Macaca mulatta: one gene and its partner. The protein of the gene in region 2 interacts with the protein of the main gene of each other region in a pairwise test. Links are inferred from orthologs where the notes say so. Each region holds a gene or a part of one and is shown on either strand. Other genes may lie near its edges.

The links. The genes of interacting proteins can lie anywhere in the genome.
Region 1: the proteins of LMTK2 (region 2) and MYO6 interact in a two-hybrid assay, tested with the Homo sapiens proteins (2 studies listed by BioGRID). The link is inferred for Macaca mulatta from reciprocal best matches to the Homo sapiens genes LMTK2 and MYO6.

The regions. Positions count from the first base shown.
Region 1 is NC_133409.1:109,843,821-109,847,320, forward strand, and holds part of MYO6 (unconventional myosin-VI), read right to left. Parts: intron 785-3,500; coding exon 576-784; intron 1-575. UniProt on the Homo sapiens protein: Myosins are actin-based motor molecules with ATPase activity. Unconventional myosins serve in intracellular movements. Myosin 6 is a reverse-direction motor protein that moves towards the minus-end of actin filaments.
Region 2 is NC_133408.1:45,286,457-45,290,756, forward strand, and holds the start of LMTK2 (serine/threonine-protein kinase LMTK2), read left to right. Parts: upstream 1-1,500; 5' UTR 1,501-1,816; coding exon 1,817-1,916; intron 1,917-4,300. UniProt on the Homo sapiens protein: Phosphorylates PPP1C, phosphorylase b and CFTR.

The sequences.
Region 1 (3,500 bases), on a different chromosome or scaffold from region 2:
GTCATTTACCTAGCTTAGAAAACAATAAACAAATCATAGCTTTAAAAAGAAGAAAATCCTCAGGTATAAGAGTCTAACTAAAATTCAGATTATAGTTAAAATTATTTTATGTTATCATTATCATAAAATGAGCTTATTTTCTCAATTTTCAAACTTATTACAAAATTAGTTCATTAAAATAAGAACACCGTTTTAAGAATTGTCAACTTGGCACGGTTGCTCACGCCTGTAATCCCAGCACTTTGGGAGGCCGAGGTGGGCGGATCCCCTGAGGTCAGGAGTTTGAGACCAGCCTAGCCAACACAGTGAAACCCCGTCTCTAATACAAATACAAAAATTAGCCAGGCGTGGTGATGTGTGCCTGTAGTCCCATCTACTCAGGAGGTGAGGCAGGAGAATCAATTGAACCCGAGAGGCAAAGTGCAGTAAGCCGAGATCACGCCACTGCACAGCCTGGGTGACAGAGCGAGACCCTGTCTCAAAAACAAAACACAAAAAAGAACTGTCATTAACCACTGTGAATACCAATAATTCACTATTTAAGTCTCTTATTCAAAATAATATAAATGCCTCACATCCGCCTTTCCTCCTCTTCCTTTCTTCGACGTTTTTCATCTTCTTCACGTCTTTTTCTTTCCTTTTCCATTTCTTCTTGAATACGCCTCAGCCTTTCTGCTTCCTCTTCCTGCTGTTTTTTTTTCTGTAATGCACTGAGGAGTTGCTCTGAGCTTTTAACCAGTGCATCATATTCTTTCTGTATTTGTTCCCGTGTCATCATAGTGGACTTTAAAAAATAAAATAATAGGTACGTAAAAGCTTATTTCTTCTGTTGCACAACAATGTGAATATACTTAACAATACTGAACTATAAACTCAAAAATGGTTAAGATAAATTTTACGTTTTTTTTTTTTTTACAATTTAAAATAAAAAACTACTCCAGTATGCAAATACAGTAAAAACTAGGTAAGATGGTAAGCAATATGTCCGTTATCTTTGCTATACTGTTTGTACATTAAATACTATTCAAAAAATGTTTTATGTTATCTCTGCACACAAGTATTAGACATCAATTAGACAGGTGTACTGTGGACAAGATAATATATTGCAGTTAAAAATTATTTCTAGGCCGGGTATGGTGGCTCATGCCTGTAATCCCAGCCCTTTGGGAGGCCGAGGTGGGCAGATCACCTGAGGTCAGGAGTTCGAGACCAGCCTGGCCAACATAGTGAAATCCTGTCTCTAACAAAAAAAATACAAAAATTAGCCAGGCATGGTGGTACACACCTGTAGTCCCAGCTACTCGGGAGGCTGAGGCAGGAGAATTGCTTGAACCCGGGAGGCGGGGGTTACAGTGAACCGAGATCACGCCACTGCACTCCAGCCTGCACAACACAGCAAGACTCTTGTCTCAAAAAGAAAACAATATTTCTTAAGTAATGATCAGCTAATTTAGCAAGAGTTTACTACTACTTTATAATAATGTTCAAATAGTACCTAGAGAATACTTTAAAAATTACTAAATATATCAAAAATTATTAGATGATTTCGCCTTCAGAAAATGTGGGTGGGTTAATTTATAACACCACATAAACAAGGATGGCCCTTGACAGATTTATAAAATCAGCTGAGTCTATTTATAGCATTTTCATTTTCCTCCAGATCTTTTTTTCCTTTCTACCTCCAAGATTGCCATTGTTTACATAAAGTATCTGCAGAAAATATAAAATGCTCACATTAAGATATTTATTATATCCCACATACTTGCGCTGACCTATGAAACTGAGAAAAAGCATTAAAACTCTAAAATATAATTGAGGAAAAGATACAAAATGTAATTAATGAAATATGAAATATAATTAACAAACACAGAAAAGTCTTCAATTCCACTAGTAATCAAATAAATAAAAATCAAAACAAAAAAAGGGGTCCCATTTTTTTCCCACAAAATTGGAGAGGAAATTGCTATTTTCACAAAATTAAGTAAATTACATTATCGTATCTATGAAGATAATGTATTAACATGGACAAGTATATAACATAATGGTAGAGATAGAAATTGAAATGTATATTATGATTAAGAACTATGTAAACATTTATGCATAAAAGAGTGTAAGGTAAAGTAAAAACAAGTAAAATTATACTGTAAAAATAAAAGTAAAAATATACTGTGATATACAACAGTATATTAACTGAATTTGTTAATGTGGAGGTAATGTGGAGGTATTAAGAGGTTTTTAGTGGTTTCTCCAATTTTTTTTTTTTTTTTAAGCCACGGGTCTGTCACCTAGGTTGGAGTGCAGTGCTGCAATCTCTGCTCACTGCAACCTCCACCTCCTGGGCTCAAGCAATCCTGTAACCTCAGCCTCCTTGGGACCACAGGCTCATGCCACCATGCCTAACTAATTTTTTGTATTTTTGGTGGAGACAGGTTTTGGCCATGTTGACCAGGTTGGTCTCTAACTCCTGAGCTCAGGTGATCCATCTGCCTGGGCCTCCCAAAGTGCTGGGAATACAGGCATGAGCCATCACATCTGGCCTCCAAATTTGTTATAATATTATATTACTTTTATCATTTATTTATTTAATTATTTTTAGACAGAGTCTCGCTCTGTCGCCCAGGCTGGAGTGCAGTGGCACAATCTTGGCTCACTGCAACCTCTGCCTCCTGGGTTCAAGCAATTCTCCTGCCTCAGCCTCCCAAGTAGCTGCAACTACAGGCGCGTGTGACCACACCCGGCTAACTTTTGTATTTTTAGTAGAGACGGGATTTCACCATGTTGGCCAGGCTGTTCTCAACCTCCTGACCTCAAGTCATCCACCCACCTCGGCCTCCCGAAGTTCTGGGATTACAGGCGGGAGCCACCGTGCCCTGTCACTTTTATAATGGAAAAATTAGTTTCTCAAAGTAGAAAAGCATGAAACAAATTAAATTATTTGCATTCATCCTCTCAGTCATGATTATGCAAGAGCTCACCAATAAAGTATGGTATTTTAGTTGCTCTTTTGTGGAAGAAACATCTGGTTTTTTTTTTTTTTAATATATGTGTTTTGTGTTTTCTTTTTGCTTCAACTTTAATTTTTTTTTTTTTTTTTAGATGGAGTCTCACTCTGTCGCCAGGCTGGAGTGCAGTAGCATGATCTTGGCTCACTGCAATCTCTACCTCCTGGGTTCAAGCAATTCTCCTGCCTCAGCCTCCCCAATAGCTTGAATTACAAGTGCACACCACCATGCCCAGCTAGTTTTTGTATTTTTAGTAGAGACAGGGTTTCACCATGTTGGCCAGGAAGGTCTTGATCTCCTGACCTCGTGATCCCAAAGTGCTGGGATTACAGGCATGAGCCACCGCGCACGGCCTTCAACTTTTATTTTAATTTCAGGGATGCATGTGCAGGATGTGCAGGTTTGTTACACAGGTGAACGTGTGCCATGGTGGGTTTGATGCACAGATCATCCCATCACCTATGTATAAAGTTGTGGGGAATATCTTTCTTAGCAACA
Region 2 (4,300 bases):
AGTACAACAGGGTGGTTGTGTCTCTTTCCTAGACCTTTGCCTTCCTTATTGATTCCACAAAGAATCAGCAGAAAGCCGTGAACTATTTTTTTGAAGACAGAGTCTTGCTGTGTTGCCCAGGCTGGAGTGCAGTAGTGCGATCTCAGGTCACTGCAACCTCCACCTCCTGGGTTCGAGCAATTCTCCTGCCTCAGCCTCCCAAGCAGCTGGGATTACAGGTGCACGCCACCATGCCTGGCTAATATTTTTTGTATTTTTAGTAGAGACGGGGTTTAACCATGTTGGTCAGGCTGGTCTCGAACTCCTGGCCTTAAGTGATTCACCCACCTCGGCCTCCCAAAGTGCTGAGATTACAGGCGTGAGCCACCATGCCCGGCCAAGCCATGGACTTTTAAATTCAATGTTTCTCGTTCCAGCTGTTTGTCTTATTAGATATTTATTGGCTTGCTTCAATCATCCAACAAATATTCCCTGGGCATCATCTGTGTGTCCAGTGCTGTGTTAACATCACCGACAGCTGTCATTTAGGATGGACATTTGGGGAGTTCGGAGAATTGGGGAGGTTACCCTGTTGCCAGGTGGCAAAGTCCCATCTGATAAGATTGAAATCAGCTCCTCTCATGCACACACTGAACCACAGCGCCTCTCCAGAAAAGCTTGGCATTTTCTCAACCCCCATGTCTCTGACCACTATATTACTTGTGTTTGGAGAGTGCTTTCTCTATCCTCTCTGCAGGACTGTGTTCTCACCTCAACTGTTGGTGGGGAGAAGGCCACCCCTGGGAGCTGCTCTGCCCTGGTACCTGGGACCAGGACTATGCACCATTGCTTTAGAGAACACCTGCTCCAACCCAGGTCCTGCACCAGGGATTTCCCCCCAGCTGAATCAGGGAGCTTACAACCACGGGTCAATAGGACACAGCAGCTGGGATAGCAGTCCATACAGGGCCAGGGCGGGCCATTAAGGAGATGACAGTCATTTCTCCTAGAGAGTCATGGATGAAGTCATATGTCAGTTGAGTCTCGACAGATGAAAGGAAGAGTGTGTGCCAGGTGGACAAGAGGCAACAGCTTGAGCTCAGGAGGTGAGTCAGTGGGTGACGCTGGGAGAGGCATTCTCTTCTTGATCAATTCAAGTGAAAAGCCCAAAGCTGTTGGATGGCTGAGAGGATGTGTAGGTCAACTTAAGGAGAAGAGCCTAAAACAGCTCTGACAAGTAAAAAAAAAAAAAGGCAGAAGACAGGCCTATTTTTGCATGTTATAAAACACTTAGAAAAAAATATCAGGATGATTGTCATGGTTTTCTTTACATTTTCCTGTATTTTTCAATTTAAAATAATTGTTGGTGTTACCTGCTGCCCACGCACTCTTCCGTCTGCAGGGGGCGCACCGGCCGCCACCGCTCACTCCTTCAGGATGATGGGCGGGGCCTCCTGGGCCGGTGTGGACTGACGAGTGGCTGGCCGCCCTGTCCATCTCGACGTCCCGCCCCCGCGCTACGTCACATGACGCAGCCCATCATGGCGGCGGGAGCGCGGCTGCCCGGGCCCGCTGCTCCGCAGGGCTGCTGCCGTTGCTGCTGTTGAGAGGCGGCGGCGGCGGCGCAGGCGGGAAGGATGGTGTTTCTGCGACTGGAGCGGCAGGTGCGGACCGGGAGCCGGACCGAGGTTTGGCAGAAGCAACGCGTGCTCAGGAGCAGCCGGCGCGGGTGCCGCTGAGGCAGCGGAGGGAGGCAGGACCGACTGACGGGCGAACGGACGGACGGACGGACGGAAGGCGACTAGAGAGCCGGCCCCGGAGCCGCGCCGTGGGCGAGATGCCGGGGCCGCCGGCGTTGCGGCGGCGGCTGTTGCTGCTGCTGGTCCTCCTGTTCGCTGGCAGTGCCGGGGCCGCGCCACTTCCGCAAACAGGTGCAGGTGAGCGGGCCCGCCGTGGGGACGGGGCTGCGGGAACAGGGCTGCGGGGTCCTCGGCGTGAGGGGGAGGGGACGGCAGGGCCGGGCCGGCCTCGGCGCCGAGGGATCGGAGGGCCTGCCCGGGGCGGGAATCCCAGGGAGGTGAGTGATTAGGGAGATTTCTGCCGCAGGGGCGTGGGATGGGGGGGCGGGGGCGAGACAACGTCGTTGGGGCTGGGGAGGGCGGCGGGCGAGGTGGCAGCCACCGACCCCTCCCGGGATAGGCTGCGGTACCGGCCCTGGACCTGTTGCCTTAAGGTTCTCAGCTTATATCGCTTCCTGGCAGTTCAGCTTCCCTTTCCAGATGTCACCTGCCTCTTGTGCGTTTTTCTCGCATCTCATAATAAGAACCGTTTCTTAGCCCTAATCGCACTTAAATGCAAATAACTTGGCGAGCTGTGCGGAGTTTGTTTCGCTCCTTGCAACTTATTCTGAAGTTGTAAATTGATTTTAGACTCTGTGCTTTTTATTCGGAATGTATCTCCGGGGATGAGAAGGAAACAACCATAAATATTTCTATTTTAGGAAGCCAGTGATTAGAGTAGCAGGCGTTGAATAACTATTGACAAACTGGCTTAAGGGTGATGGAAGTTTCTATTTTAGCTAACGTCAGTGTATGATTTTCTTCCCCCCGCCCCCCCCCCCGCATTTTCTCAACATCGTTTTTATTTGGGGTTTATTTTCCTAAATAAAACTTCAACCCAAGAAGACATCCAAAGTTGTGTCATTTTTCTAAAAAGGAAAAAAAAAATGTAGGCTAACTTGGCGTTATTGCCTGCCGCCATTATCTTTGAAATGGGGAAAGATTGAACTTTCATACATTCGTAGAATATTAGAGTTAGAAGAGACCTTAAAGAAAATTTAGACTAATTTCTTCGTTATGTAGTAGGAAATACTGGGGGTGTTGGGTCAGATGACCTACCCAAGGTGACACAGCTTCATTGTAGGCAGAGCCCCAAACCCAGGTCTTAGATACCTCTAGTTGTATGATTTTTTTTCCCATTTCATTTCAAGTCTTATAACTGTTTCGGAATACTTTTGAGGTCAAGAGTTATTTTGGAATAATGTTAATTGGGTAGAATGTGGATGTACTGTCTCCAGTAAAGACATATTTTTCAAACAAATCTGCGATGAAAGCTACATGTAATTGCTTCCAGAGCTACATCAGGGTAGCTGTCATTGAGTGCCCTTTAGTTGAACGTTAAATGTCCTCATTGTACCGTATAATGTAGCACTAAATTTCTGTCACTGCCTTAGATCAAATACTTGTGAGGTGAATTCCGTTTTCTGGTCTGATAGATAAGAAGAGTGAATGTTATCAGATGTGTATAGGCAACACCGGTAAGAGTCACAGAAGGGGCCGGGCGCGGTGGCTCAAGCCTGTAATCCCAGCACTTTGGGAGGCCGAGGCGGGTGGATCACGAGGTCAGGAGATCGAGACTATCCTGGCTAACATGGTGAAACCCCGTCTCTACTAAAAATACAAAAAACTAGCCGGGCGTGGTGGCGGGCGCCTGTAGTCTCAGCTACTTGGGAGGCTGAGGCGGGAGAATGGCGTGAACCCGGGAGGCGGAGCTTGCAGTGAGCCGAGATCACGCCACTGCACTCCAGCCTGGGAGACACAGCGAGACTCCGTCTCAAAAAAAAAAAAAAAAAAAAAAAAGAGTCACAGAAGGTACCTGGGAAATAATGAAAGATTATGTGGAAGGATGATAATGTTGATATTTAAAGATACTGAAAATTAGCACTAGTATAGGGTTGTAGGTAAAGAGTATGTGATGGGGATTCAAGAGAAGTTTCCAGATGACTTTACGCTTAATTGGATTTTTTATATTTTGAAATATCGATTCTTTGTAGGAACCTATGTCTTCCGGTACACTTTTGTTTTTGTTTTTGTTTTTTTTTGAGATGGAGTCTTGCTCTGTCGCCCAGGCTGGAGTGCATCCGCACGATCTTGGCTGACTGCAATCTCAACCTCCTGGGTTCAAGCAATTCTCTGCCTCAGCCTCCCGTGTAGCTGGGACTACAGGCCCCTGCCACTACGCCTGGCTAAGTTTTGTATTTTTAGTAGATACGGGGTTTCACCATCTTGGCCAGGCTGGTCTTGAACTCCTGACCTCGTGATTCACCTGCCTTGGCCTCCCAAAGTGCTGGGATTACAGGCATGAGCCTGGCCGCCTGTACACTTCTTACATGGTTTTTATTCCATTCTTTTACAATTCTATGGTGTCATGAATTATAAAAAACCGAGTATTGTTGGGGTATTGTAGAACAAAGCAATCAGAAAAGTTAATCTGTAAATAAAGGTATCAAATCTTGACATAGATAAAGCGTAAGGAAATATTT